Linked DNA regions of Mus musculus. The main gene of each other region encodes a partner of the protein of the gene in region 3 in a complex. Links are inferred from orthologs where the notes say so. Each region holds a gene or a part of one and is shown on either strand. Other genes may lie near its edges.

Region 1 (10,493 bases), on a different chromosome or scaffold from region 3:
ATGGAAGGAGACATGTTGAGGAAGGAGGTGGAGAGGACCACTTTAACAAGACCCCACCCCTCACAAAGATAAAAAAAATAGTGGTTGACCAGTTGAAGGACTTCCCTAAGGAGATCTTTTTTTTTTCTTTTTGAGCCAAATAAAGAGAAAGAACCAGTAAGACTTTCTAGGCCAAGGGGACAGTAAGTATATGGGTCCCAAGACCTGGGAGGGGAGGTGTAGTGTAATCTGTCTTTTTGAAAGAAGAGCAACTCCCCACGTGGGAGCCTAGTGAGAAATGTGCACAGCAGACCCAGCACGGGCTCATGTCACCCATCCCACTGCTGACTTACTTTTCCTTAAAGGAATTCACTTTGAAAATAATTATTTAAGAAAGGAAATTAGGGGGCCAATGATGACTCAGCAGATAAAGTGAAAGCACCTGCCACCAAGCCTGACAGCCTAAGTTCAATCCCCGGGACCTACAGGATGGAAGGAGAGAACCTGCAAGCTGCCCTCCCATCTTTATATGCACTTCATGGTTCATACACACACACCTGCAGACACACACACACCACAGGCACACCACACACAGCACACACACACACACCTGCAGACACACACACCTGCAGACACACACACACACACCACAGGCACACCACACACACACATGCCCACACACACGTGCAGACATTCCCCCACCACACACACACACACTCCGTAGATCTTAGCACTAAAAGAAAGGAATGAATAAAGATTGAAATTAAAATCAACATCTGTGTAAAACCTAATCTTCTTTCTTAGGGCATCTGAGGTATACATTCTACAGTTTCTACTTTATCCTGTCAAGAAAATCACCCCAGTTCCCCTTTCTATATCACTCCAAATCTCACAAACAAGTCTTTTTTCCATATATATTTATTTTCAGAGTCAAAGTCATCTTGCACATATCATCCTAAATGCTTTAAAAGCTTAGATTCTGCCGGGTGGTGGCGGCACACACCTTTAATCCCAGCACTTTGGAGGCAGAGGCAGGTGGATTTCTGAGTTCAAGGCCAGCCTGGTCTACAGAGTGAGTTCCAGGACAGCCAGAGCTACACAGAAAAACCCTGTCTCAAAACAAAACAAAACAAAACAAAACAAAACAAAACAAAACAAAACAAAACAAAATAAAACAAAAACAAAAAAAAGCTTACATTCTGAACATTTTCCTGTCATTTTAGATGCTATTAACTGCTTTCCTCTGTAAAGCCAGCTCATTAAATGATACAAAGGCTACACACTGGAAGAACCCAGTCTTCTCCAGAGTCCTATTTGTTGTGTAAGGCAATTGCTGCAGGGAGCTTTGAGAATGGTTTCCAGAATTTTCCTCCTAAGTTCCATTTAATGATCAGTTGCTTTTAGGCTCCTGGACTAGCACTTGGTTTACAGACATTGGCACTGCACCTCCTGGACCTGGAGAATAACCGGGGTAGTTCATCCGACTCAATGCTTCCTCAGCTCAAGTTGGAAAGGGTATAAGGTAGCAGTTTCTAGAAAGACTTTGCATTATGGTTGACCAGTGTTCTAGAGATTGGATCCTATGTTTGCAGCTAGACTTCTTCCAATCCACAGAACAGCTGTCTGCCATCAAGAATTACCTACCTCACATACCATGGGTACCAAAGTTGAGAAATGGTGCTTTGGATGAGTGTAGCTCACAAAGCTGGGTGTTCCAGGCCAGCATCTTTCTATCCTGCAACTTCCATGTCCAGTGTTAAATGCCCTGGGACTCTAAAAATATGGAGAAGCCATATGAAACCACCTGGAAGCTCGGAGCCCACACCACAGAGTTCAGCACCTAAGAAGGGAGTAGAGAGGGGAGGGGGAAGGAGTTGAGCCAGTTCCCAAGGGAAATGGAACTGATAGGGAAGGTTGAGATTGACTGCCTGACTCACCTCTGGCTAACCTGTGGCAGCCCACTGTGATTAACTATGATTGCCCTGTCTAGCCTAGTCTGCAGCCCCCTAAAACATGAATTGTGAAGTTGTGAGTGGGGCAGATTGATGTGGTCAGCTGTCGCTGGGGAACAATGACACACAAGAAGCAGCAGCACAGGGGCTAGAACTCCAGCTGCTTTTAGATCACATGGTTTGTTTGTTTGTTTGTTTGTTTGTTTGTTTGTTTGTTTGTACTCTTGGGGTTTGTGGTGCCTCTGTGAAGCTCAGTTTCCTCTTTTGTAAATTGAGAATCCTAATTGCCAAGTCTTTATCCCTATACTTGGTCATTCTTCTCCCAGAATTGTAGCACCAGTAAAAAGATGGAGGACATATCTATCAGCAAGGGATAGGAACAGAGATGGGAGATTAAACTCAGATCAAGCCCTTTACCAACCCGGGCTTATAGATATGCAGGTATGATGCAATCAATCAATAGCCAGTAAAGGGGGCAGAGGGACTCCCGTCCTTTCTGGGAATAGCAAGGCTTTTCCAGGAATTTGGGCATGCTTTTATGGTTTCTCTCCATTGACAACCATCAGTGCTGTAGGAAGGCCACTTAAGAGGCAGGTGGGCAATAGTGAAGTTGGAGGTTATTTGTCTTCTGCTCTGTCAGCCATTGTAGCTACAGCCAGTCTTGGTAAAGTCACCCGAAGAAGAGACTGAAGGCCTTTGAGAATCCTGCCTTTATAGATAAACAAGCTTACAATCAGGTCGGGAAAGTTGGCAGTACAAGATTAGAGGAGGGTCACATCTTGGCTATGGTTAGTGAGGAGATTAGAAGTAGTATCTATGTATCTCCCAGTAGCTCTGGCTCATGGTGGAGTTCTGATGTACAGAACCACTGAGCACAAGGTTAGTGTACTGGCTCTTCCTGGTTGTCAACTTGACTATATCCGGAATGAACTACAATCCAGAATTGGTAGGCTCACAGTGACCCTAATCTGGAGGCTGGGAGATGCAAGTGTCTGACCTGGATAATGGCATGGAAATCTTGAGGCATAGTGGTTATGAATCCGAGAAGATTAAGACAGGGGAGATCTCTGAGTTTAAAGTCATGTGGGACAAAGCAAGTTCCAGATCCAGGTGTGATGGCACACACCTTTAATCTGGGCACACACTTTCTGCTGGAGACCTACATAAGGACATTGGAAGAAGGAAGATTCTCTCTCTCTCTTGTTCACCTGCTTGCCTTGTGGGACTGAGCAACTGCTAGATCCTTGGATTTCCATTCACAGCTGCTGCTCACCATTGTTGGAGAGCTGGACTACAGACTGTAAGTCATCAACAAATTCCCTTACTATATAGAGACTACCCATAAGTTTTGTGACTCTAGAGAACCCTGACTAATACAGCAAGGCCTATGGATAGTCATTTACTATACACATCATTTGATTTGTTATTAAATACACAGTACATTTATGAGGGCTATGTGCTAGGTTCTAAGGAAATAGAGAAGAAAAAGACAGTCAGGTTTCCTCACTCAGTGCACATTTATAGCTTGACTGCTGTATTCTGTAAGGCCTGGAAAACACTGGGTGGTCATTTCCAGAGGAACTGCTGTGTTTGCGTTTGAAGGGACTGGTTCTCCCTTCAGGCAACAGCCTTGGTTCTGAAACTAGGGATGAATGTGTCTGGAAGCCGGGACTTGGAGATAATAGGGAACTTTTGACATGGTGACCGGCATAGGAAATGTGGCTAAAGAGGACCAACCATGACTGAGCCAGTCTGTGGCTACTGTGTGCCAACACCTGAACCATGCTTTGGCCAGCCCGTGTCTGCTTGAGACCAAAAGGACTGTGGATGGTGAGTATGTTTCTGGACGGGGATATAAAGTGGATAGTTTAATTAAAGTCGTTATTTATAATTCGGGAAGTAAAACGAAACAGTAAGAAGAAAATGAAGTGCTTATCGTGAGGAACCTGGAAGCACGGGCCATTTCTTCTGAGACTCGGGGCTCCGCCGGACTACTTTTTCCGTAGCACCTATCCGGCACCAAAGCAGCCGAACTTCCGTCCCGTTTCCGCGGAACCGGAGCTTGAGGTGCTACGGTGAGTGTCGGCCCTCGGTGCGCCTTTCGGCCTCCGGTTTCCTTGTGTGTGGTCGGGCCACCTCGCTTCTTGTCTCAGAATCGCGCTGGCGGAGTCTGGCTTTGTGAGCTGGTGTCTGAGGAGGCCTTTCTTCCTGAGAACCCGTCCCTGAGGACACCGTGGTCAGGGTCTCTGGGGCTCCCGAAGGAACTTCCCCCCACACCCCTTTAACTGTAACCAGAGAACGAGACTCACTCGAGCTGGATCTGCGTGGCTTCCGGTAAGTCACCTACCCGGCTTCCTGGCTTTATTTAAAGTGCATATTATCGTAAGTTAAAAAAAAAAAATTAAGCTTCGTGTGTATGCTAGGCATCAGGGACTCGAGTCTTGTGGGCATGACAGTCTTCAACCAAGTACACAAAGTTACACACCTGTCCCTGGAACTGAACGGCAACAGGGTAGCCAGAGTGTCATCACCAACATTTGACTTAGTCCCGGGTCGAGGAGGCTTTACTAAGATTAAAAAAAGAAAAATAATTGTGTGACCAAGTGCTATGGGTAGAGTTTTCTCTGGTGTGAGGGTAAGAAAGAAGCCAGTGTGGTTAGAACAATCCTTCGGATTGGGGTGGTATTAAATTAGCTGAAGAGTTGCCCAGGGAAATTCATGCAGCGTTTTCGGGCCATTCCCTAAAGCCAGATAGAGAACGCATTGAGGACCAAGTACTCTCCACTCTTGGAAGGCGGTGAATACGCTGAGGAGTTGTCTCTGTATTGCAGGCTTGTGAAGAGTATTCGTTTGTGTTTCAGACTTTTTTTTTTTTTTACTGTGAACTACAGTCACAAGACTTTTATGCTGTGATCACATGTATATACAAGCACATGTCTTCTTGGAACCATTCCTATCCTTGTTACTTGTGGCATTCCAATAGCTTAAAAGTTCTCTTCTTGGTGCTGGAGAGATGACTTGGTGGTTAAGAGACTTGTCTGCTCTTCCAGGGGACCTGGACTCAGTTCCTAAGGGCGCCATGGTGCTAAACCCACCTCTAACTCCAGTGTCAGGGAATTCAGCATCCTCTTCTGGCTTCTGTGTAACTTTTCTCATTATTTCAGATAGCTTTCTGTCTAAAAATGATTTCCTTCCTTCTTTCTTTCTTTCTTTCTTTCGTTTTGTTTTGTTTTGTTTTTTCGAGACAGGGTTTCCCTGTGTAGCCCTGACTGTCCTGGAACTCACTTTGTAGACCAGGCTGGGCCTCGAACTCAGAAATCCTCCTGCCTCTGCCTCCCAAGTGCTGGGATTAAAGGCGTGCGCCACCACCGCCCGGCTAAAAATGATTTCTTAACTCAAGATACATCTTGCAGTTTGAAAAAGAGTGCTAATTTAGAGTCTTTTCTCCTGTTTTTTTAGGTAAAGACAATGAAGTGTGCTCCTAATATTTTTTTGTAAAAGGATTTTTTGTTTGTTTTAAATAAAAGAGTAAACATCAAGCAGCACTCGATTTTTCTGCTTGTGTATTTTGAGGCCACTTCTGTGTAAAATACAAATATCTGGTTTTCAGTAGTCTTATTCTGTGGATATTTCTTTTGGGGCCCAGTAAAGATCCTGGGTAGTGCCTGTAATCTGAGTGTTTTGTCAGTAGGATGAGTAAGTGACTTAGTACTCAGTTCAGTAAAAGTTGAAGTACTTGATTGGCTTGCATTGATTGGTTCTTGCTGAAAACATTCTTACAGATACTGCAGAGACGACAGTGTCTGCTACACAGTTGTTTTTAGCATCGAGTGCATGTGAGTGCATGATGGGGTGGTGGGTCATATGCTGGGGCAAACATGTGAAGGTTAGACAGCTTTGTGTGCTCTCTTTTCTCCTTCCACCCTTGAGTGGGCTCTGGCCATCGAAGTGAGGTTGTCAGGCTTACAAGGCAGGTGCCTCTACTCACTGAGCATTTGCCAGCACCCTCAACCCCTTTGCTTTTAATCAAAGTGTCTTTATAGGGAATTTAAATGTGGATAAGATAAAGAATCCAAGCCTCTCCTCAAGCACTCACTGTAGACCTGCCATGTCAGTCTCTGGCGGGATTGTGACTCTGGGGAAGTTGTTTGATCCCTGGACTTTCAGTGCTTTTGTTTTGTGATTGTTTGCTTGTTTTTAAGACAGTGTCTTGTGTATGTGTCCCAGGCTGGCCTCCGGTTCACTGTGTACTGAGAATGACTTTAGTGTCTGATCCTGTGCCTCTGTCTTTGTCTATCACAGAATTTTTTTTGTAATCGTTTTTGTGGTTCCAAGGATCCTTTGTGTATAATGGACAAGCACTGCACCTGATGAACCGCGTTCTCACCAGCCGCTTGGTTTCATTGTTGATTTCTGAGAAGACCGTCTCTAGCAATCAAGGGTGATTTTGAACTCCAGATCAAGGGTTGGGAATACAGGCATGTAGCACTGCACCCTGGCAAGTTGTTTTAAACTAAGAGCCCAGCCCTTTGCTTTCCCTCATTTCCAACTAGGCTTTTGATGAGTGAAAGAAGGGAGTTTGAAAAACTCTCCTTCGCTCCTCAGACTTTTTGTTAATTTTAGATGCTCATGGAAAATTAGGTAGCCAGTTTGATTTGGTCATCTTATGGTACTCTCCAGTAGCAGGTTTTAGGTAGAATTGTAGCTTAAGGCGACTTTTGCATTCTTCTAATTTAAAATGAGCCATTTGAGCCGTTTCTACCTTCCACTGCTGTTGAAAGAGGGACATCTGATGGGCAGTGGACACAAGCCTGCAGTACCAGCAGGCAGGTTTTATTTTGGTACTGTGTGACCACCTGTCTTTAAGTGGTGCCCCTGGAGTGGTGGAATGAAGACTCTTGATCCTTAAATCAAAACCCCCAAATCTCTTTGATTCTGATTTTCCTCATCTGTTAGACAGATGCAGGGTTGCCATGGAGATTAAAGGGAGTTAATTTCTGTCAGGATCTAATTCAATATTTGACATAGAGAATGTGCAAGAAATAAAGTATTCTTTTCCCATATTCTGATCAACTGTTTCTGTCTCTCTTTCTCTGTAGGAGACAGAAAAGAGCCCTGCTTTTGGTTACCCTCCACTGGCTTCATGTCTTCCATGCAGATGGATCCAGAGTTAGCCAAGCAGCTCTTCTTTGAAGGAGCCACGGTGGTCATTCTGAACATGCCCAAGGGGACAGAGTTTGGCATTGACTACAACTCTTGGGAGGTGGGGCCCAAGTTCCGGGGTGTGAAGATGATTCCCCCTGGCATCCACTTCCTGTACTACAGCTCTGTGGACAAGGCCAATCCCAGGGAGGTGGGCCCTCGCATGGGCTTCTTCCTCAGCCTGAAGCAGCGGGGGCTGACAGTCCTGCGCTGGAATGCAGTCCAGGAAGAAGTAGACCTGTCTCCAGCTCCAGAGGCTGAAGTAGAAGCTATGAGAGCCAATCTCCCAGACCTAGACCAGTTTCTGGGACCTTACCCATATGCTACACTCAAGAAATGGATCTCACTCACCAACTTCATCAGTGAGGCCACCATGGAGAAGCTGCAGCCTGAGAGCAGGCAGATCTGCGCCTTCTCAGATGTGCTGCCTGTGCTTTTCATGAAGCACACCAAGGACAGGGTGGGGCAGAACCTGCCCCTCTGCGGCACCGAGTGCAGAAGCTACCAAGAGGGCCTAGCCCGGCTGCCCGAGATGAGGCCCAGGGCTGGGACAGAGATCCGCTTCTCAGAGTTGCCCACTCAGATGTTCCCAGCAGGAGCCACACCAGCAGAGATCACCAGGCACAGCATGGACTTGAGCTATGCCCTCGAAACTGTGCTCAGCAAGCAGTTCCCTGGCAACCCCCAGGATGTGCTTGGTAAGAACGAACTAGGCTTTGGGGAAGGGTACTAGTGGGGGTACTTGGCATACTTAGAATAGAGGGCTTATCTTGGGTTATCTAACCCAGTGTTCTTAAAGGGGCAGAAGGTGGACGGATTAGTCGTCATCAAAAGGCATTTCACCCTTAGCCTAGAGCTTTTAAGTCAAGAGATCTGTATCGGGACTAGCTGTCTGTCTGGCTTATCTAATAATTTGAGCATCTTTGATGAGCTTGTGCACATAATCCCATGTTTGCTAATTGCTGACACAGCCCACCCTTGCAGAGAGAAAGGATTTGACTAATAGAGCAGTCACATTGAGATCCGAGTCCAAGGCTCCCGGTTGCTAGGTCCAATCTGTCTGTGTTATTAAAGCCTCCACCTGACACCTCAGTTTGCTTTTGAGTTCTTAAAGTGTTTCTCTCTTCACTGGCTTAGAACAGGACTTTTATTTTTGTTTAACTTGTTACAGTTTTATCACTACTTGAGCTCTTTTTTTTGTTTGTTTGTTTTTTGTTTTTTCAAGACAGGGTTTCTCTGCTAGGTTTCTTGCTGTCCTGGAACTCACTTTATAGACCAGGCTGGCCTCAAACTCAGAAATCCACCTGTCTCTGCCTCCCAAGTGCTGGGATTAAAGGCTTGTGCCACCACCACTCAGCCCTCTACTTGCACTCTTAATTTTAAAATATGTACTTATCACAGAATATAAATAAAGTTCACTAAGTTCTATCCCCAGAAATATCTATTTTCATGGTTGAATGCACTTGTACTTTTTTTCTTTTTCCTGTGTATTTCTATGTATTTCACTTGTCCTTTATGTTTCAGACTTATCAGTTCAGTTCTATTGTATGAGTGTATGTGGTTTTTATAGAGACAGGATCAGAGAGCAGTGTTCTGTGCTGTGCTGTGCTGTGAGCATTTCCCCATCACTGCTCACCTGCCTTACGGCTAGCTGTACAGTGCCCAGAGCTGTGGAACTAGTTCTCAGTGGCCACTCCTTAGGCGCCCCTATTTTCTGTTGTAAATGGAGCCTCGTAAGCACTGGTGAAGGTACCTGGGTTTAGGGTTGGATTGTGGAAGAGTTACCAGATTTGCCTCCTCAGCAGGGGTTGGAGGCAGTTCTTCACCGTTGACAGCACTCAGCATGGATTCTTAGCAAGGGCCTGTTCAGTTCAGTGGTTGAAAAGCTGCCATCTTCTTTCTATCTCTGAATATTAGTGACAGCAAACATTTGGCATGCTTTTGGTGTGTGTTTATGCACATGTCACATATGGCGGCCAAAGGTTAGCCTCTGGGGTGTTGTTCCTTAAGTACTGCTAACCTTTTTCTTTTGAGACAGGGTGTCTCATTGATCTAGAACTCACCAAGTAGACTGGTAGTAGACCCTGGGTGGATGTCTGCCTGTCTCTGCCTCCCCAGTGTTGGGAGTGGGAGCACTTGTCCCACCACTTCAGCCTTTTAAACTCCAGTTCTGGGGCCTGACTCTGGTCCATGTGCTTGAGAGACAAGCATTTCCCTGACCGAGCATCTCCCAGCCCCTGCTATACCTCTAAGGCCTGTCCTTAATGTCTATAAACTGTCCAGGGCATTCACATAACTTCCTATTGGTGAAGGTTGCTTATAGAAGTTTGGTTATAGACCTTGTTATATCCTTGGCTGAACTGATGATAAAATGGACATTTTAATAGGTGCATCATGGAGCTGGAGACATGGCTCAGTGGGTAACAGCACTGACTACTCTAATAAAAGACCCTGGTTCAATTCCAGCATCCACATGGCAGCTGTCGGTAAAGCCAGTTCCAGAGAATCTGGTGCCCTCTCACAGACGCTTGGACAGAACACATAAAAAGAAATAAATCTTTAGTAGGTGCATTATAGTGCAGGACTTACTATGTTATATTCGTAACCCCTGAATTCTTGCTTAAACATGACTAGGAATCTTGTTTTCTATCTCTTAAACATTTCAATATTCAAAATATATCTGTACCAGACATAGGTGGCACACTTGAATCCCAGCACAGGGAAGGCAGTTAGATCTTAGTGAGTTCCAGGCCAGCCAGGACCTTATTTCAAAATTTAAAAAAGGAGGAGGGAGAAGAGGGGGAGGAGGAGGAAGGAGATGGGGAGGAGGAGGAGGAGGAAGAGGAGAAAGAGAGAGAGAGAGAGAGAGAGAGAGAGAGAGAGAGAGAGAGAGAGAGAGAGAGAGAGAGAGAGAAAAGAAAAGAAAAAAATTTTGTTTAGGGCAAGTTTGAATCTGTGTAACAATTCCTTGAAATTATTTCTGATACCATCATTTAAATTTTACCATCAAAACCTCACAAATTTATATTAATTTCCTACTAGAGAACTTCCAGCCTAGCTTTGGCTAGTGAGATCCTTTCTCAACACCACCCCTCCAAATCAGTAACAGTAAATTAGGGCTGTGAATACAAAAGAGTAAGCTAATGTTAGTTCCACAGTTTAACCAGGTAAAACCAAACAGAGAAATAAGTCACTATGCAAAGAAAATTCCACAGGCTGGAATCAGGAAACCCTGCCTTTAATGGTGACCGATCAAATGCCATGCATGTGAGGGCTTATTTGCTGATTTTTTTTTTTTTTTTGATGGCCCATATATATATAGCTTAAATGTGGCCACCTTTGAAGCCAGGGAGTGCATCT
Region 2 (10,469 bases), on a different chromosome or scaffold from region 3:
TGCAGGCAAGTGGATTCATCCATGCAGCCACTTGGGCAACTATGCCTCTGCCTATAAAACTTACAGCACACTAAAGTTAAGAACATGTGCTCCCTGCAGAGTACTAGGTCCTCAGAGAAAAAAAAAAAGAGAGTTGCAATGACCACCATTGCATCATTAAGCTTGTTCCAAAAGGAAAAAACAAGCAAGCAACCAAATCATAGTTATCCTGAAATTAGGCAATGAAGTAATATTTATACCAAACAAGTCAAACAATATTACAAGTAAGTAACTTTGTTCTGGAAATTAAAAGATTGCTTTTAAAAGCAGAAACATTAAAATATTTAATACATTAAATAATATATTATATATACTTAATATCATATTATTTAATATAATATTAAATATATTTTTCCCTACACACACACACAGAGTAATGAACTTTCTGATCAATTTGTGCCAGATGAAAATGCAGCCTAGGTAAACATAATTTCATAAAAGTACATTATATTAAAAATACCACTAAAAGCAAAACTATAGGCTGGGAATATTATTTGCAAAATATGTGACAAAAATAATTTGATTATTCATCTTAATTTTCAATCTGATGGGAATTAGAATCACCATGGAAACAAATCCCTGGGCATGTCTGTAGGGGATTCTCTTAAAGTTGAGGTGGCAATCATCCCGTAGCTGGGGTCCTAGGTTGACTAGAAGGGACACGGGGAGCTGAGTAGCAGCATTTATGACCCTCTGCTTCCTAGCTGTGGATACTGTGTGACCAGCTGCCCCACACTCCTGCCATGCCTTCCTTTCGATGCTTACTCACCTGCCCTGGAGCTACAAGGGAAGGCAACGCCTTCGTTCCTTATGTTGCTTTTGTCAAGTATTTTGTTGCAGCAACAAGAAGAGTAAAATAATTTCACAAAAGTTTTTGCAAAGCCGGGCGTGGTGGAGCACGCCTTTAATCCCAGTACTCGGGAGGCAGAGGCATGCGGATTTCTGAGTTCGAGGCCAGCCTGGACTACAAAGTGAGCTCCAGGACAGCCAGGGCTATAAAGAGAAACCCTGTCTCAAAAAAACCAAGTTTTTGCAAATTGTTTAAAACACATAGGCCAAAGCTTGATACAAACATTTTTTATTTTTTTTAAAGATTTATTTGTTATGTTCTGTCTGCGGGTACACCTGCATGACAGAAGAGAACATCAGATCCCTTTGACAGATGGCCATGAGCCACCCTGTGGTTGCTGGGAACTGAACTCAGAACCTCTGAGTGAGCAGCCAGTGTTCTTAACCAGTGAGCCATCTCACCAGGCCTACTTTATATAACTCTAATGTGGTAGAACCTGCCTATAACCCTAGTGCTGGGGCACTGAGGCAGGATCGCAAGTTCAAGGCCAGCCTGGAAGGGAGTGCCTCCAAAAAGGACTTGGATGAGAAGGCCTCGAATAACTCAAAAATACAAGTAAGTCCAAAGTAAGTTTCTAAAAGTTTTTAAATCAGGTTTTGCTTAGCACATGGAAGAGAAAATTACAGCATAGTTGAATGTTGAAAGGGTGTAAGGGGACTGGAAAAACAGGCAAAAGTAGCATGAAATAAACTTCCTGTTGGCAATATGAAATATGTGCTCTACGAATTTACTCTAGGAAAAACAAGAACTATAAAGATTTATTAAAATGACTGTAGCCAATAAGCATAGGTGAAATAATTTATAGTAAAAACACTTAATAAAACTTTATAGATATTACTGCTGAAATATTTGACACAGAAAAATACTCATCATTTAACCGTCTCTAAAATTGCGCTTAGCATGGAGTCTAAAATTTAGGAAAAGCAAATTTTTGATTAAACGTACACACTCAAAAAGCCTCTGACAGGAGTGGGTGAGATGGCTCGGCCGGGAAAGGCACTTGCTATTCAGGCTAATAGACTAAATTCAATATCCAGGACCCATGTGAGAGAAGAGAAGAACTGAGTCCTGCAGGTTGTCCTCTGACCTCCATACATGTTCCGTGGCACTCACACACCCACAGGGCACACTCACACCCAAAGTAAGTAAATGCTTATTGTTGTTGCTGTTGGTTTAAGTATAGGAAAAGACCAGTGCCAGGGGATCCAACACCATCTTCTGGACTCCGAGGGTACAAAGCAGGTAAGCGGTACACAGACATACAAGCAGGTACTCATACACGTTAAAAAAAAAAAAAACAATGTCTTTTCAAGCTAGGAAAATATAAGATGTGATTACTTCTTTTGACTTACCTGCACTTGTACAATACAGCATACATGGTCTGTGTTTATAATAGGAATTAATAAAAACTGAATTCAATGTGAAAAGCATCATTATGAAATAGAGTTTGAACTGAATTTTCTTAAGGGATCATTAAGGTTTTTTAAATGATACATTCAAACTCAAAGTTCATTTTGTTTTGGAATGAATGCTGTTTCAGAGTTCAGTTCAGGAGCTGGAGAGATGGCTCAGTGGTTAAGAGCACAAGCTCCTCACACAGAGAACCCAGGTTGAATTCCCAGCCCCACACTGCACAGGTTACAGCCCACAGTAACTCCAGTACCAGGGATCCAACCACCTCTTCTGGTCTCCGCAGACACTGCATATGAAGTAGGCCCACATGCAGGAAGATACGCATACACATACAATAAAAATAAAGAAAATCTCTGAAAGAACAAGACCTAAGTTCACTTTTAGCAAAGAGGCCAGGGAGAACAGCCATTGGAGGACATCTCATTAGACAGATCCCTTCTGCTCCACCCTACCCTCAAGCCACTGAGTAAAATTACCCCTGCCCCAATCAAATTAATACAAATGAGGGAGAAAATAAACAGAAATCAATATGAAACTAAGTATCAAAAAACTATATTTGCTTCACGAGCTACTTCGACATAATAAATCAAATCACAGTTAACCAAAAACATCTTTATTTTTTTTAGTCTTTAAAAAAAAAAAGAAGACAAAACAAAACTCTTCTTTTCCCAAAATAACCATGATTAGCTTAGAAAAATGGATGTATATCTTCAAAGAGTTTCCCTTTAACGGAAACTTCATTTATAGACTCTAAATGTTAAAGGTTTGAAAACAACGTCGAGGAAATCCATTCATACTTCAGGCCCTTCTCCTCCGGGAACCAGCTGCATTGGAGAAAAAGAATTTATTAATAACACTACCACACCACCTAAAAAACCCTTCGTGTCCCTCGTGGACCAAAGCCAGCTTTGCCTCTCCCCCATCCTTCACATCCCATCTTCTCCAAGTCCATCTGTTAGTAATCCCTACATCACTAGCTGACGTCTAAGTTATTAATGATTCCGGATGAGCTAGAAGTCGACAAAGATTAATAAGCAAGCTAATCCTAAGGACTGTACTGGCTAGTTTTGTGTCAACTTGACACAAGCTGGAGTTATCACAGAGAAAGGAGCTTCAGTTGAGGAAATGCCTCCATGAGATCCAACTGTGGGGCATTTTCTCAATTAGTGATCAAGAGGGGAGGTCCCCTTGTGGGTGGGACCATCTCTGGGCTGGTAGTCTTGGGTTCTATAAGAAAGCAGGCTGAGCAAGCCAGGGGAAGCAAGCCAGTAAGGAACATCCCTCCATGGCCTCTGCATCAGCTCCTGCTTCCTGACCTGCTTGAGTTCCAGTCCTGATTTCCTTTGGTGATGAACAGCAGTATGGAAGTGTAAGCCAAATAAACCCTTTCCTCCCCAACTTGCTTCTTGGTCATGATGTTTGTGCAGGAATAGAAACCCTGACTAAGACAAGGACCAAAGCACTTTCAACAGCTGCCCTGAGGCACAGATCACCAAGGCTCCCTTCCCATCCTCAGTGTGTCTATCTCAGTGCCATGAACATTGCCAACGAAATAGAAGTTTAAGTCAGTTCCATAATCCCTACACTACAAAAGTAAAATAATTTCCAGAGAAAAGTTTTAATGTCTTACCATTGTTATATTATTTCCATTTAGTAGAATTTGATCTAATTTTGTAATTCTTCTTCCTTCTGGTGTAATTTCACTAAAAAGATAGATTAAATGGAGTCTGGATAAACAAGTAATCAAAGGCAGTATTAGAAACACTTTCCCTCCCTAAAAGTCCTACTGGGGTAAGGAGAATAGCTTGGTGGCAGAGCACACACACAAGGCCCTGGGTTCAATCCCTAGTGACAAAGCTGTTATTCTTACACATGATTCAATGTGAACGCATATAATTACAGTAAATATATACAGAATACAAACTGCCCATTGGATAATACTCATGTAAATATAATTCACCATAAAGCTTGTTCACACTAATTTCTTACAAATTCAGGAATAATATGAAGATAATAATCCTTTAACTGGACCTCACAAACACCAGTAAATAACGTTTCAGTATTAAGGTATTTTCCAACAAGTAATTTTTTTTATATCGATCATACTAAAGCTGCTATGGAGGTTTAAAGGAGAATGGCCTCCACTTGGTCCTCTGTTGGCAAACTGGAAATGATTAGGAGGTGTGGCCTTTTTTGGAGGAGGTGTATCACCCTGTTAGGCTTTGAGATTCCAAAAACCTAAATTATACCCACTTAGTGCGCTCGCGTTCTCTATTTACTTCTCTCTCTCTCTCTCTCTCTCTCTCTCTCTCTCTCTCTTGGTTATTATCTAACATATAAGCTCTTAGCTAGGACAGTCAGGGACTCTAACCATCTGAAACTGTAAGCAAGCCCCCAGTTAAACGCATTCTTCCATAAGATACCTTTGTCATGCTGTCTCTTCACATTAATAGAAAAAAGTAATCAAGGCACCATCTTTAATTAAAAAGAGATTTCCTCCCCTCCTCTCAAATTTTTTTAATTTTTTAAATACTACTCACAATTCTGTGACATCTTCCAACACCATATCTGAATTTAATGTTAAGAAAATAAATAAGGTTTATTCAGGTATATGTTTTTGTTTGGTTTAAAATATGTTCAACACTATGATAGTGCAAATTCAAAAGGTTTGTTGTTGGCAAGAGCCCTATCAACTGTCAGCAAACACACCTCTTAAAATACTACCAAGTTCCTGGAAAACAAAATTATTCTTAATGTAATAACCAGAAATTCTTCGGTTGTCTATAGTTCTTTCTTATATTAATACATCTTTAGAAACCTACACCATTCCCGCTTTTAAAAAGGATACTGACAAAGTCATCAAATCCTAGAAGTGTCCCGACAATTTCTTTATCACTCTTCATCACAATGTGAATTCTTGACCCTATACATTTGTCCACAAGCTCTGTGGAAGGAAAAGGGTAATTTTACCTACTTATTAGATCGACCAACATTTGAATGCCTACTTCACTTATTATTTTTTATCATTAAAGATAAGCAAAAACATTCAGTTTTTTGCTATTTATTTATTTATTTACTTACTTTTATTAATCATTCCATCTGTTTACATCTCAAATGATATTCCCCCTTCCTGGTTACCCCTCCACAACACCCCTCCCATATCTACCTTCTCCCCACTCCCCAATTGCTTCTATGAGGGTGCTCCCCCACCCACCCACCCACTCCAGCATTCTCCTTATGCTGTGGCATCAAACTCCACAGGATCAAGAGCCTCCCCTCCCAATGATGTCAAAAAAGGCCATACTCTCCTACATATGTATCTGGAACCATTCGGTAATTTTACATCTTACACAAATCTCTGTTTAATCGTTAGCACAAATGTTTGCCTTAGCTTTCACTTAACTCTTTATTTGCAATTAATAGGACTGTGATTTTTATTTAGATTATTTGATTAATGTATGAAAACACACACCATGAGGTGGGTGGAGACCATAACTGTTTTTCTTCATCAGTGTTTGTACCGATAAACAATATCTAACACTGCAAAAACTTTCAATCACAGACACATTCACTAAGCTCACCAGCCCCAAAACATGACAAGGGAGAAGCATTATTACAGACACCGGCTTTCCCGTCACTCCTTCTCTCACTTAACCTTAACTCTCTGTGCTCCTGGGCCAACCTGTTCATCTCAGCATCTTAGAATTGCTCAGCACGATGCGTGCCGGTGTGCGATCTTGAAAGCAATGGCTGTAATTCAAGTTCATTATTCAACAGTTCTCTGGCACTGCGCGGGAATTGCTTGTTGAATTAATGAACGACGGGGCTAGTTTCCAGATTTCTATTGTAAGATTCATTGTATGCCGTGGCGCACTCCTTACCCAAGCCAATACAGGGTCTACCTGATCTGGAGACCAAGAAGGCCAAGCTGAGAACTGGGACTGCGCGACTCATGACATCTTACTGGCGAGCTCAAAAAGGCCGAGCACGTCCTTCACTAAGTGGGACCCTCACCGACCACCGACAGGCAAAACGGTCTGTCTGTCTGCCCAGTGACGCCAAGGACCGGACAGCCGGGCCCGGAGGGGCGGTGGCCCAGCCTCGGCCCCCAGCGTGGAATTGCAGCAACCCGACCGCTCCCCAAACAAGACTTTTACCTAGTGGCAGGAGTTGGGACGGGTTCGTGGTCGCGTTAGCCGCCATGGCCACGCCGGAAGTGGCTAAGGACACCGGCGCAGACTTTAAAATTGCGCGCTTCCGCCCTTTTCCACAGCTGGTTCAGACAAGACTAATCCAAAGCCGATCTTGAGATCCAGAGGATCCCAATGGATCGCAGACAGATTCGATAGAGAGGTTCGGATCTCTATCCCTGCCACCAACCCAACAGGCACCTATGGTACCCCCAAGTTTTGCTAAACTTCAGAGATAATTTGCCGCCGGAAGACCAGCATACGAGATCTCTGAGTCGGTTAATTTTCCTCTAGAAGGTTGCATTTCAAGCCTGTATCTTTCTTCAGAGCAATAAAATCAATTTATATTTCCTACTATAAACTCGTTCTGCATGCTCCTCAACAACTACTCATTTTTTTTTTTTTAAGGAATCTGGTACTTTTAAGGCCAGAGGACTGAAAGTCTATAAAGCAGCATTTTTCACAAGCTTTTTTTTTTTTAGAAAAAACAAACAAACAAACAAACAAACAAAAAACTTCTACTATTATTTAATTTCTTCTTGTCGTTTCTAGGTGTCTGGTTTATTACAGGCATTAAAGTCACTATCAGTTTTCAATTTGCAGGCAACCGTAAGATGTCACTCTGTATGTTGACTCCATCATGTTTGGAAACCTTGCTATCACACTTCTGCATTGGAAAAGATTAAAAAGCCCCCTTTTAACGTGGAGTGGCCAGTAAACCCAACACTTGAGAGACAAAAGGAGGCATCTGTTGCAGGCATGGCCCTCTTAGACCCCGACACAAAATAAGAAATTAAAACTAACAAGGGCTAGCTGGTAGCTTGGCTATAGGGTACTTTCCTAGCATTCATGAGGCCCGGAGTTTGGGCCCTAGTGTTTTTTGTTTGTTCGTTTACGTGCTTGTTTTGTTGTTGTTGTTGTTGTTGTTGTTGTTGTTAAAGCAGATAAATACTTTGCCTTTGTCCATCTCATGTGACAGACTTAAAACCAAACAGCCTAAATATGAGAGATGAGCACCCTTCATTCCTCCATTGAAAAAACATATCAGTGGAATATTGTTTGACTAGCAGCTTGCTGGATACATAAAACAATGTTCAGAAAAGTCTTCAACCAAGAGAGTGGGAAGGAGGACAAATAGTACATTTCATGTGCACAGCACTATGGGATTTAATATGGAAAGCAATGAAAACTCAGCTCCATTCTCAATTCCAAGCCAGTGGTGGCTTTTTTTCCTCCACGCCCAATCTATAAGTCTTACAGATCTACTAGGTCCCAAGGCAATTACAAACACACTTGACAGCCATCCTTTTGAGGTAAGAGTCAGGATTAAGTTCCTTGTGCTTAAAACAAGTTAAAACACTGTCCCTTGGCCACAGCTTGAAGAACTGAGGAGTTGTTGGGAGTCTTCTCACACAGTGACTAAGAATGGGTAAGCAGAGAAGAGGCAAAAGCCGCATTCTGAGAAAAGGAAACATTGTGTGCAGTGGATGTGTGTCACTCCAAGCTTCTCTTGTTGATCTTGTCTTTAAACCATACCCATTTCTCCCACATTGAGCATAAAACACTTGCCTTTTCAAATCCATTTCCTGAGTAACCCCAGTCTTCACTCATTTTTTTTTCTATTTAACTGCATGATACTGCTCAATGTCCTGGTAAAGATGTTCAGTTTGCAGGACCCTGGCCAGAGATGATCACCTATCCTGACTTGTGTAGTCTTGTTGGAGGCCGATGCTGGCTGACAGCAGTGTCAATAGCTGTCAGGATTACTTGGATGTATTTTTTAATATAATTATTCAAAGTTAGCTACCCTTCAAAAACCCGATTCCTCAAGACTAAGAACACTGGGACATAGCATAGTGATTAAATCCACTGGTTCTGAATTTAGTGACTTTTAGTCAAATCCAAACTTCACAATTTTTAAAAGCTTTTAAAACTGTTTTTAAAATTACATTGAATTGTGTGCACCATATGAGTGCACACACATGTGTAATAGAAGAAAATTTGAAGGAATGTGTTCTTTCCTTCTATCATGTGTATTCCGGGGCTCAAACTCTGGTCAACAAGCATGGCAGAAAACACCTTTATCTAGAGCCATCTCACTAACCCCAACACAGTTTCTACTAATTATTTTTTCTTATGTGTACATTATTTAAGCTTTTTAAATCTTAGTTTTTCTATTAGAAGCACTGATAGTAATGGCAAACACAGTATTATTTTTAATTAATTAATTAATTAATTAATTATATGGGTGTTTCGTTTGCATGTATGTCTGTCTTTGTGACTTTTCTATTGATGTGAAGGGACACTCTTGCGCGCGCTCGACTGGCCAGGAAGAACGACGCTGCAACAGGATCCTTCTGCACACGTTTATTGGGAGAGCTTGATTGTAGAGGCGAAAAGACTTCGAGCCCAGAACTGGTGCTGCTTTTATAGGCCTAGGAGGGGCGTGTCTCACACCCGGATTGGTTATGCACTAAGCCTCATTTGCATGTTCCTCATCTGATTGGCTACTCTCTCTCAGTACCTTACAGAACCTCATTATCATACCTCATTTGCATGTCTCACATCTGATTGGTTATACTCTCAGTACCTTACAGAACCTCATTATCATGCCTGGGCCAGGCAGTGTCTTTGCAAAAAAATTTACTGCATATGTACACATTGGTTGTTTGTCCAATCTTATGTGTGGTGGCCAGCAGTAGTCAGTGCCACTCAGCAACAGCACATGTGGCTTCCCACAGGACACCACAACCAAGGCAACACTTAAACATCAATTGGGAACTTGCTTTAAGTTGCAGAGCTTTAGATCATTATCATTCTTGTGGGGGGGCAGTAATAGCAGCATCCATGGCACTGGAGCAGTAGCTGAGAGCTACATCCTGATCCACAGGCCAAGAGAAAAAGATTAGTCCTGGCATGGCTTTTGATAACCTCAAAGCCCCGCCCCCCGCTTCCAGTGACATACTTCCTCTAAGGCCACACCTACTAATCCTTCTAATCTTTTCAAACAGTTCCAAACACTGGAAATTAAACATTCAAATATATGAGCCTATGGAGTTCATTTTTATTCAAACCAGCTTATTGTCTGTGCACAATATATGTGTCTGGTGTCCATGGAGGCCAGAGAGGGCACCAGATCCCTTGGGACTTAAATCACAATTATGAATCCCATGCAGATGATGGGAATCAAACCCAGGTCTCCTAGAAGAGGAGCCAATACTCTTAACCATGGAACTACCTCCCTCACCAACTTAAAATATTATTTTAATGATTAAATGAAATAACCTATGAAAATTGGTTAGGACAAGATCTAGTACACAGCAATAGGTATTCTGTGTGATGTCTTGTTACTTATTTGCCGCAGACCCTCTGGGCCCCTTTGTCTGCGTGGAACGGGTCTCTAGTCTCGGGTGGGCAAAGCGTCGGATGAGTGACAAACAGAAGCACACAGGAGAGGTTGTGTGGAATCTGAATGTATTTTTCAAATCGAGCATCAGACTTTTTATGCAGAAGACAATAAGGAAGTTGGGTGACATATTCGCAAGGTACAAATGAGGTAACCAGAATCTTACATAAAACAGAGGAATGCAAACACAGGTCTAACGGGAACCACCTGGGATAGAATTTATTGTTAACAACTGGGATCAAAAAGGGCTCCACCTAAGATTTGATTAATCTTAGAAGCCAGGGTCAAGGGCTTCGTGCCCTTGCCATAGTTCCTATTTTAGTCTATTTATAGTCCACCTTCCCCTTAGGCCATTGTAAATATGTGTGTATGGGTGTAACTCAGCTATAGTCTTAGAAGCCAGGTGTGAGGTCTTTACTCTCTTAGGGCAAGGGCTTTCACACCCAAGTCATGGTTCTAACTAGGGAGTTCCATTCTATCTAACCATCTCATGAATAATGCTATACTCTAAAACCACAGCCCAATCTACTTCCTAAACCACTGTAAATTCCTGTATATGGGAGCGACTTGG
Region 3 (10,459 bases):
CACAGTTGGAGCGGGCCCCATCAAGCAACAACACTCATGCTGCCCTGAAAGCGCCATAGGCAGTCGTTTTGATTACCTTTGGACACCTTGATGAAAGGGTCTCCCAGTAACAGGCTGGCAGGCGGGGCTGGAGCCATTGCTGTCACGGTTGCAGAAGTCCTCTTTGTTATGGGGCTCAATGCAGGGGTGTTGCACACTCATTCTTGGGCCTGGTTTTCCTGAGACTGTTTTAATATGCCCATATGCTACCCATTTACTTTGAAAGCTTTTCATCTGATCTCTTTTTTAGTTATAGAAACATTATTTCTTAGCCTTTGCTTTATAGTTGGTGCCAGGTAGTTTTTGGTATCTTTGAAAACAAATAAGATTCAAAGTCCACCCTGCCTTTCTTTCTTTGCATCGAAAATGGCATCATCTGGCATAAAACATGGCCTTAATCACTGTTTCACACAAGATGAAGTAGTTTAAAGGCAAACCACTACCTCACACAATATGAGGTGTGTAACAAGTTGGAGACAGTTGGGTCTTGGCTGTCCTTTGAAGCACTTACTAACAATGCTGGGCCAGGGATCAGACTTGGGCATCATTTCACAGAGGTGCCAGTCCTCCAAGAAAGCGAGACAGACTTGAGGAAGCAGTTAGGCATGACCATATGAGGGGAAGGGGACACCAAGAAAACAAAATTCTCTAAATCAACATGAGCAAGGATCATATACATTCACAGAGACTGAGGCGGCCTGCACAGTGCCTGCATGGATCTGGATCTACACCAGGTCCTCTGGGTGTGTGCGTGTGCGTGTGCGTGTGCGTGTGCGTGTGCGTGTGCGTGTGCGTGTGTGTGTGTGTGTGTGTGCGTGCATTATTGTGGCTTCCAGGTTAGTGTTTTTATGGGACTCCTGAGTGTGTGAACAAGTGATTCTCTGATCCTTGTGCCTTCTCTTGGGAGTTTTCCTTCTGCTAGTTTTTTTTCATGTCCAACTTTGATGTGACTGCTCTTGTTTCACCTTATGTCTTATTTGGTTACATGCTATCTCTTAGAAGCTGGTTCTTTCCTAATGAGAGATAGAAAGAAGAAGGAGCAAAGCTCCTGATTTGGGGGGGGGGGGAGCTGGGACGAATAAAGGGAGAGGAAACTGTAATCAGGATATAGAATGTGAGAAAAGAATCTATTTTTAATAAAGGGGGAGGAACCTAAATGCCAACGAGCTAGTGGAGAAATAGTACAGAATGGTGTATCTGTGTAGCTGAATATTAAAATAAGAGGAAATACTGATGTGTGGAACTTTAGAGCATGATGCAATCTAGACTTGATAAACCAGCTAGGAAGGACTACATATAATTCCATTTATTGAAATGTCTAAAATAGGTCAATCTACAAGCAAAACATAGATTAGTGATTACCATAAGCTTCAGGGATAAGGAAATGGGAAACAATTACTTTTTCTTCTCAGAGTGACCTTTTCCCTAGAATTTGATTGTAGTCTCAGTTCCAGTTGTCTGACCCTCCCTGATGATATTTAGAGTATATCTACAGTATATGTTAATAAATATTTGTATTAAAGTATTTTAAATTTTTAAAGATTTATTTATTTATTATATGTAAATACACTGTAGCTGTCTTCAGACCCCTTTTCTTCTCTCTCTGTTCCTGCTTGATCTGGCCCTGTTCACTCCAGCCCAAAGATTTATTTATTTATTATACGTAAGTACACCATAGTTGTCTTCAGACACTCCAGAAGAGGGCATCAGATCCCATTACAGATGGTTGTGAGCCACCATGTGGTTGCTGGGATTTGAACTCAGGACCTTTAGAAGAGCAGTCAATGCTCTTAACCACTGAGCCATCTCTCCAGCCCCTAAAATTATTTTTATTTATTTTTGAGACAGGATCTTATATACTTCTGAATGGCCTCAAACATACTATGTATGATCCAAGGATGAAGTTGAACTTAAAAAAAAAAAAGATGTATGAGTATGAATGTTTTGCCTGCACATATGTGTAAGTGCACTGTTTTGTGCCTTGTGCCTGAAAAGGCCAGAGTGTGCTGAGTCCCCTGGAACTGGAGTCATGGACGTTTGCCCACTGACATACGGGTGATGGAAATCGAGTCTGGGTCTTGTTTTATTTTGTGTGGCTTAGTGTTTTGCCTGCATGCATGTCTGAGTAAGGGTGTCAGATCTTGGAATTACAGCCAGCCATCATGTGATAGCTGGGAATTGAACCCTGGGTCCTCTGGAACTGCTGAGGCAACTCTCTAGCTCCAGAACCTGGGTTTTCATGAAAAGCCACAAATGCTTTTTATTTTGGAGTCATCTCCTCAACCGTTGCTTTTTAATTTGTAATTTTTATCAGGAGAGGGATAGTGGTGACTTGTACTTAATGCCAGTAAATGGTTAAAGTGGCAAACTTAAACACGTGTGTGTGCGCGCGTATGCGTACACACACACACACACACACACACACACACAGATATGGTAAAGAAAAGTATTCCTACTTGTAATAGCTTAAGAAGATGGTTCAGGAACACTGCAACGTGGTCTTGTAGGGAGGAAAATATGTTCAATTACCAATTGTGGAACATTATGGGTGAAGAGGAATGGATCTGTGAAAGAGAAATTAGGAGGATAATGGCTGAAGCCAAGGAGATCTGACCTCTGGGATAAGGTACAGGTCCAAAAACTTGATTATATCCAAGAGTGTCTGATGATGCAGAAAGATATTTTACAGAAGAATGCATAGATAGGCCTATGGAAAAGATCAGGAGCATGGCTGAAGTTTGGCCAAAGACTTGCCATATTTCTCAGCACAATAAAAAAATAATAAGCCGGGCGTGGTGGCGCACGCCTTTAATCCCAGCACTCGGGAAGCAGAGGCAAGCGGATTTCTGAGTTCGAGGCCAGCCTGGTCTACAGAGTGAGTTCCTGGACAGCCAGGGCTACACAGAGAAACCCTGTCTCGAAAAAAAAAAAAGAAAGAAGGAAAAGAAAAGACAAAAATAATAAAAATAGAGACAAATTACCCCACAACACTAGACGCGTTACGAGGTGGGGACGCTTGGGTCTCGACCGTGCTCTGGAGCACTTGCTAAAGAGGCTGAGCGCGAGATTAGACTCGGGTATCCCCGCCCCCTCGGCAGAGGCACCGAGTCGCCAAGAAGGCGAGCTCGACGCGCTCACCGACGGCTCGCTCTGCGCAGGCCCAGCTCGCTGGGCGGCGACCAGGGGTGGGGTGGGGACCAAGAGGCCGACGGCGACGTCCCCGCGCATGCGCATGACGCCAGCGTGCGCCTGCGCAGCAGCGCCGAAAAGCGTCAGCGCGTGACGGCGCGGGAGGAGCTGGTGCTGGGTGGAGGACGCGGTGTTTGGGCCGCGTGGGCTCACACGAGGTTAGAGGTCGTCTGGTGTGGCCCCATGGGGCAGGGGCTGCCGGGGTGTGTTCCCTGCGGAGGTGGCGATTCGAGGGTGTGGTTCCCGTGCGAGCCGAGGCCCTGTATGGGCTTTGGGCCCGGGGCGAGCAGTGGAGGTTTGGGGTGCGGTGGCCTGCAGGTTTGCAGTGGGGCCCTAGGCAGAGTCTGGGGTGCAGGCCAGGTTCTTGGGGTCCGGATGGGGTCGCGATCCTCTGCTCTTTCTACCCACAGGTAGCTCGCGGCGTCCGGCCGCGCAGGCGCGCTCAAGATGTCGTACATGCTTCCGCATCTGCACAATGGCTGGCAGGTAGACCAGGCCATCCTTTCGGAGGAGGACCGCGTGGTCGTCATTCGTTTCGGACACGACTGGGACCCCACTTGCATGAAGATGGACGAGGTTCTGTACAGCATCGCCGAAAAGGTAACTCATGTGCAGTGTTCGCCGTGCTGGGCCCCGCAGGGCGGTTTGGACGCCAGATTTCAAGCCCGAGTCCTGTGTTCCATGCAGAGACCCACAGAGAGACGGGGTTCATGTACGGGCAAGGTTTGTGCTAGAAATGGTTAGAGTTTCTTAAAATTTGAAGAAATTTATGATTTCCTCCTAAAATAAGTGATGATAAATTTTGGGGGTTTTTTTGTGATTACGGAAGGGGATGGATGGTCCGAGATAGGTCTTGTGTATGTATCTATATGTATATATAGTCAGACGGACCTTAAACTCGCCGCCTCAGTCTCAGAGTTCTGGGATTACCGGGCACCACTGTGGATGATGTTTTAAAAAATTTACTAGGGCCAGGTGCGGTGGCATATGCATTTAATCCTAGCACTCTAGAAGCTGAGGCACTGATCGTTCTAGGCCAGTCAGGACTGTATAAGACTGGGTCTCAAAAACAATGTATCGCCGGGCAGTGGTGGCGCATGCCTGTAATCCCACCACTTGGGAGGCAGAGGCAAGCGGATTTCTGAGTTCCAGGACAGCCAGGGCTACACGGAGAAACCTTGTCTCAAGAAAGAAAAACAATGTACCTTATGTGTAGTCAACAGAGTGACTTTGCAAGCTTTGTTGAGCTTGTTGGAGCTTACTTAGGCGGCTTAGCTTAACATTATTGGCCTTTTCTCAATATTTTATGGATTTATTGTATTTATGAAGCAGAACTTTTAGGTTAATACCATGATGGACTTTTTAGCCCCCACCCCCTCTCTGGGAGAGAAGAAAACCGGATTCACTGTGTCGCCCAGAGGGACCTTGCACATTCTTTCCTTCTCCCTGCCTCCTCCCAAGTCCTGGGATGAGCCTCAAGCTCTTTGTAAGTTACTTGATTTGTAGCTTGCAGTTATTCAAATGCTGAAAGTTGAGTTTGGGTGGAACTGGTGTTCTTAGTTTTCCATATTTATAAGCAGGGTGGCAGTACTTGTTTCCTGACACTGGAAGTGTAATTGTCAGGCACTGTTACACGATTAGGAGGTTCATTCTGTGAATTCCTCTTCACGGTTTTAGGATGACTTAACTTTTTTATGATTGTAACAATAGGGCAAAGACTGTAATATTTAATGATAAGTAATTTCAATATTATTTTATTTACTTTCTTATTTATTTGAGACAGGACCTCCCTACATAGCCCTGGAACTTGTGTAGACATGTATCTATATGTCTTTAGACCCTGCAGACAAGTCTATCTGCCTTTGTCTCCACCTTCCAGTGCTAGCTTTAAAGGTGTTTGCCACCATGCTTAGCCTGAAAGTCAAAGAAGAGTTAACACTGATAGAAATGCTGGAACTATTTTCCTTCTCACCCATGCTGCTAACGCCTGCTGGCTTAAAGTAGTTCTTAGCTTTCAAATGACGTCTGCCACAGGATTGTCACTTTATTTACTTGAGCTATAAGTGAGGCCAGGGTCAGGTGCCTTGCCACTGAACCATAGTCACCATAGCAAAGACATTCTCTGGAGTAAGACACGGGGATGTGTGCGTGTGAAGGAAAAGCAGCAGCATTTGGCTTTCTGCTTCCGTGTTGCGGAGAGGCTGGTGGAGGGCAGTTCTGACATCCAGTTATCACAGGTGTCTCTGCGAGTGCTTCTCTGGAAGCTTGGAACACGGTTGGTCTGGGCTGAGGCCTCCAGGGGATTCGGTGCAGATTAGCTTCTGAGGAGCAGCTTCTCAGCCAGCCCTGCCCTGTTCCTCTGGGAGTCTCTCTCCTGCAGGCGTGCAGGCTGTCCTGTCAGTCAGGCTAGAGGTACGAATGAGGTGATTGGGTCCCTCAGAAGGCAAATGCAGAGATTCACTGAAGCACCACTACAAGCAGGTCCACGGCTGAGTCTGCTTTAGTTGAGGACAGCTGTCCTTTAGTTATTCTGACCTGAAGGTGGTTTGACCAGTGTCAGGAGGGCTTTCCTGTCAGGAGGGCTGTGTCTGAGGCCCTTTGCTCTTCCCCAGCTAAACAGAACTTAAGCGTTTCCCGTACTTGTTATCTTGTTGTCTCAGTGCTGCTCAGGTGCAGACAAGGCCAGCCATCCCACTCACCAGACATGCGCTGTATTTGGTGTTGGGTTCATTGGTCTCCTTCAAAAATATTTCCTTTAGTCTTTTAATTTGCATTTTCTTTTGTCCAAAAAATGTGATTGCATTCTTAATGAGCTCCCTTTTTGCTCCTCTTAATAACTCTGGTACCACCATGCTAGCCAGGTGTCCTGTGCCCGTCCTCCTCAGTCACTCTTCACCTCGGTATTCACTGAGGCAAGGTCTTTCCTTAACACTGAGCTTGCCAGTGAGGCTCGTCTTGCTAGCCAGCTTGCTCTAGGGATCCTCTGTCTTCCATCTTTTAGGACTAGAATTAAGGTAGGCCATCATATCTTCTTGATATGGGTTTCTGGGGGTCTGAACTTGGGTCCTGCAAGCTCTTTAACCACTGAGCAATTTTTTCCATACTCTTAATAAACTTTTAATACTATGTTTTAGTATAGTTATTAAAAATGTAAGTTTGAATTACATTAAAATCACTGTTGTTCTACTTCCTTAGTGTAATGGCAAAATACACATTCGTAAGTTTGGGAACTCCAGGGAATTTTCAACATAAATTTTTGAAATTTAAGATTTTAGTATGTAAAGAACAGTATAACTATTTAAAAATCTCCCTCCGCAGAAATGGAAGATAGTGGGAGATCTTCCTCATCTTGTATGAGTCCTGTTTGGATATCCCAGCTGTTTTAAAGTGAGTAAAAGTTACATGTGTGTGCAGGCTGGACTTGAGTGCCCTAAAGTATGTTGCTTTAGCCAGTGTGCTGCTGCTGCTTGCAGTGTGCACCTCCCGTGATGCTGGAGTTACTGAGTTCAGTACTTGAGGAAGAACGGTGGTAGGGAGCACGCAGACTTAGATCTAGTGCTCACTGAGTAGGTCCTCTGTAAAATGACTTCAGGCAGTTTTGAAGAAAGATTATTTCCTGAACCTTCTCTTTTCCCATGGGGTAGGAATGTACTTTGTCACAAAAGTGCTTCTAGAGATCAGAATTCCCTTAATACTGTGACATACAAAAATGGTGAGTGTTTTTAATATACTAAAAAGCCCATACAAATGGCATTTAATATCTTCAGGGATGAAATGTGATGGTGTGTTCTGAAAGAATCATTGTGGCTGGTGAGACAGCTCAGCAACTAGAGGCATTGCCACAGAATCCACATCAGAGTCAAGGAAAGAACCAATTCCCTCATTTATTCTCTGACCGCCACACATATGTGATGGCGTGTATGTTCTACATATATATACACGTTATACATACAAATGCATGACAAAATTTTAGAAGACTATACAAGACAAATAATGTCCATAGGGCTTTTAAAGAATAATAGGGAGCCTGTCCTGTACGAGACTAAGGATTACTGTTGCCCATGCTTTCTAAAGTTCCATAGCTGCAGGAAATAAATCCACTGGGCAGATGCAAAGCAGTGTTTTTCCTTTACATTTTAGATTTTCAAAATGGTTATTGGAGGAAAAAAGGAGTGGACATCCACTTTAATCTCAGTTTTATATAAATCAGGTGGAAATTGTAGTGAACTGTGAACTGGTAAATGGCTGGCCAGTAACAGGAGACTATATGCTGCTGGTCCATATCTTACCCACATGGGAGCATGAGCCAGAGCCCAGGCAGCCCCTCTTTGAGATCCGTTGCACACACACTGGTGCAGATAGAACCCAAGAAGGCTCAGAGGTTAGCAGGGACCAGGGAGGTCTCTGCTGCACTGGCCCCTTCTCCTCTAACTCCTGCACTGTGTGTATCCCATCTTCGCTAGAGGATTGCGGGCTTTGCCGAGACTTCGAGGTCCTGTTGGATAAGAGCATCTCGGAGCATGAGTACAGAATTAAGGTGGTGTAGTTACATTGAGGCTGTTTAACCAGGACTATCTATCTGATAATCCGTACTCTCCAGAGATACATTTGTGATGACAGTGCTGTGTTTCTTGAGTTTTGAAATACACCTTTGTGTCAATTCCTCGAGGCAAACGGTGCTGGTGTCGCTTGTGCTCTGAGGCATCCTCTGTGATTGTGTGGAGTCTGACAGGCCTGTCTGCCGCCAATATGAACATCCGCCGGGCTCGGCCAGATGACCTGATGAACATGCAGCACTGCAACCTGCTGTGCCTGCCCGAGAACTACCAGATGAAGTACTACTTCTATCATGGCCTCTCTTGGCCCCAGCTCTCCTACATTGCTGAGGACGAGGATGGGAAGATTGTGGGCTATGTCCTGGCCAAGATGGAGGAGGACCCCGATGATGTCCCTCACGGACACATCACCTCGCTGGCTGTGAAACGCTCCCACCGGCGCCTCGGCCTGGCCCAGAAGCTCATGGACCAGGCTTCCAGGGCCATGATTGAGAACTTCAGCGCTAAGTATGTATCCCTGCATGTCAGGAAGAGCAACCGGGCGGCTCTGCACCTGTATTCCAACACCCTGAACTTCCAGGTTAGCGAGGTGGAGCCCAAGTACTATGCAGATGGGGAAGACGCGTATGCTATGAAGCGAGATCTCTCGCAGATGGCCGATGAGCTGAGACGGCAGCTGGTGCTGAAGAAAGGCAGATATGTGGTTCTGGGCTCCAAGGAGAATCAGGGTAGCACACTTCCTGGTTCTGAAGAGGCCAGTCAGCAGGAGAACCTGGCCGGAGGTGACAGTGGTAGTGATGGCAAAGACAGCACTGATGTCCAAGACAGCTTGCAGACCCTAGGGTCCGCCTCCTAGAGCCTGCCTGCCTGAGCACTGCAGGTCCTTGTATTTTAGCCACATTGTTCTTGGGAACCTTGCTCTGTGGTCCCTGAATGGGACCTGAATGGCTCTCCTTTCAAAGCTTTAGCAGCAACCTTCTGCATAACCTGTGTGATCATGGAGGCACACCTAGACACAGAACCTGCTGTGCGGGAGTCAAGGAAGCCAGCCCGAGGACTGCCGTGCAGCCCTTTCTTGGCTTCTCCACGCTGCCGTCACATGCTGCTCAGTACTGTTCTGACTGTGTCCTGCAGCTTTCTGCTTGGAATGCCAAACAGGAAGTGGGGACAACTCGAGGTCCCCAGCTTCCAGCCTTTGCATTATTTATCTGTTTGTTTGTTTTCCTTGGAGTAGAATCATCAAGTACTGCCCTTGCTTTCTGTGGAAACTGCCCTGCCCGGCCCTCCCTCTTTTTGAAGAAGAATGGTCCCTTTCCTGAGGGAGAAGGTGATAGGTGTTAGACTAGTACACAAGCAGAATTTGTAGCTCTAAGGAAAGAACACGCAGAAATTAAATTGCATTCTCTAACCTGAAAAAATAAAAATATAAAAAGGAGTACACGTTTGTTGTGGGAATTCATTGGTCAGTCCTTACCTGGTGCTTTGGGTTTAGTCTCCAGGGCACCTCTGCCGAGGAAACATTCCACCTGGTGGGGTGTTGGGTTTTGCTGAAGAGTTATAAAACTACCGAGGCTTTCATTTTTGAGAGGACATTGCTCTTCCCAGTTTCTGTCTATAGGGACTGGGGAGTCGAGTTGGCTGTAAATAATCACAATAATCCCCATTTTGACCTTTATTGGATTGGTAGTTAAATCTGTAGAAGGCAGGTTCGTCTTTCCATTATTAATAACTTAACTTTGTTGTATTGCATATGAAATGAGTATTTCTACTTTATGACACTTAAGATGTTGGCAAGCCATTAAAAATGGACAGACTAAGCCAGTGGTGAGGAACCCCTTTGATCCCAGCTCTCCATCTAGAGGCAGGCAGACCTCGAGTTCTAAGCTAGTCTGATCTACACAGCAAGTCCTGGGCCTGCTGGGACTACAAGTTAAGAGCTTAGCAAAACTCTTGCCAGGAACCTGGGTCTTTGGTTTGTGGTGTTTCCACCTTCACCCCTCCCCTCAGCGCCCTCTAAGAAGAACAGCAGGTCCCTGGTGTCCAGCACAGGGCCCTTCATCCACAGAACAGAGTGAAGGCTGCAGGACACGATCCTTCCCTACCCACCTAACTGTCCTGTCTTGTCTCTCAGGGACTTCCTCACCGTGGTGGTTTCCTGGTTAATTCCCTTCCTCAGAGCTTCGGAAGCAGCTTCTCCCGTCTTGCTCAGGAGTCACACAGCGTTTTAGTTTTGTCAGACTCAGTTTTCAGGGACCTCAGCACAGGTGCCTCCTTATCGATTGGGTTTTGGGGTCTGAGATTCCAGTGTAGGCCTCACACATGCTAAGCCTTGGCTCTGTAGCTGGTAGGTTTCCTGGTGTGCTGTGACTACTAGCCCTCTTATCTTTCCCTTGTAAAGGGCTTCTACGCTAACACTGAAGTCCCAGCATCAGCACCTGTGCTTGGGACTGTTGGGTGATGAGATTGTGGCCTTGAGGTGGACTTCCACAACCCAGCCTCAAGTTCTTTCCAAACGGTACCTAAAAGCCATCGTCCGGTGTCTTTCTCAGATACCTAAGACTGGCCTGTGTCTCGGGTCTTGTAAATAGGCCCTCCAAGAAGAGAGTCCTGCTTCTGCTTTCTCATCCAGAAGCTAGAAATGGGATTTGACTTCTGTCTTGGGTCTGTCTTTTTCT

Evidence for each region. Proteins that work in one complex are often made in the same cells at the same time.
Region 1: Txnl4a (region 3) and Aar2 share a complex: the UniProt entries of both Homo sapiens proteins name them as parts of the U5 snRNP complex. The link is inferred for Mus musculus from reciprocal best matches to the Homo sapiens genes TXNL4A and AAR2.
Region 2: Txnl4a (region 3) and Lsm5 share a complex: the UniProt entries of both Homo sapiens proteins name them as parts of the precatalytic spliceosome. The link is inferred for Mus musculus from reciprocal best matches to the Homo sapiens genes TXNL4A and LSM5.

What each region holds. Positions count from the first base shown.
Region 1 is NC_000068.7:156,543,619-156,554,111, forward strand, and holds the start of Aar2 (protein AAR2 homolog), read left to right. Parts: upstream 1-3,957; 5' UTR 3,958-4,265; intron 4,266-6,233; exon of another isoform or gene 6,234-6,409; intron 6,410-7,030; 5' UTR 7,031-7,074; coding exon 7,075-7,831; intron 7,832-10,493. UniProt on the Homo sapiens protein: Component of the U5 snRNP complex that is required for spliceosome assembly and for pre-mRNA splicing.
Region 2 is NC_000072.6:56,698,164-56,708,632, forward strand, and holds Lsm5 (U6 snRNA-associated Sm-like protein LSm5), read right to left. Parts: upstream 6,537-10,469; 5' UTR 6,506-6,536; coding exon 6,460-6,505; intron 5,247-6,459; coding exon 5,151-5,246; intron 4,871-5,150; coding exon 4,843-4,870; intron 4,006-4,842; coding exon 3,933-4,005; intron 3,127-3,932; coding exon 3,094-3,126; 3' UTR 2,900-3,093; downstream 1-2,899. UniProt on the Homo sapiens protein: Plays a role in pre-mRNA splicing as component of the U4/U6-U5 tri-snRNP complex that is involved in spliceosome assembly, and as component of the precatalytic spliceosome (spliceosome B complex).
Region 3 is NC_000084.6:80,203,516-80,213,974, forward strand, and holds the start of Txnl4a (thioredoxin-like protein 4A), read left to right. Parts: upstream 1-3,310; 5' UTR 3,311-3,386; exon of another isoform or gene 3,387-3,546; intron 3,547-3,638; 5' UTR 3,639-3,675; coding exon 3,676-3,828; intron 3,829-4,594; coding exon of another isoform or gene 4,595-4,714; intron 4,715-6,546; coding exon of another isoform or gene 6,547-6,585; exon of another isoform or gene 6,586-6,615; intron 6,616-7,897; coding exon of another isoform or gene 7,898-7,942; exon of another isoform or gene 7,943-7,977; coding exon of another isoform or gene 7,978-8,640; exon of another isoform or gene 8,641-9,219; intron 9,220-10,459. Other genes in the region: Gm16286 (N-alpha-acetyltransferase 11-like), read left to right, coding at 7,978-8,640. UniProt on the Homo sapiens protein: Plays a role in pre-mRNA splicing as component of the U5 snRNP and U4/U6-U5 tri-snRNP complexes that are involved in spliceosome assembly, and as component of the precatalytic spliceosome (spliceosome B complex).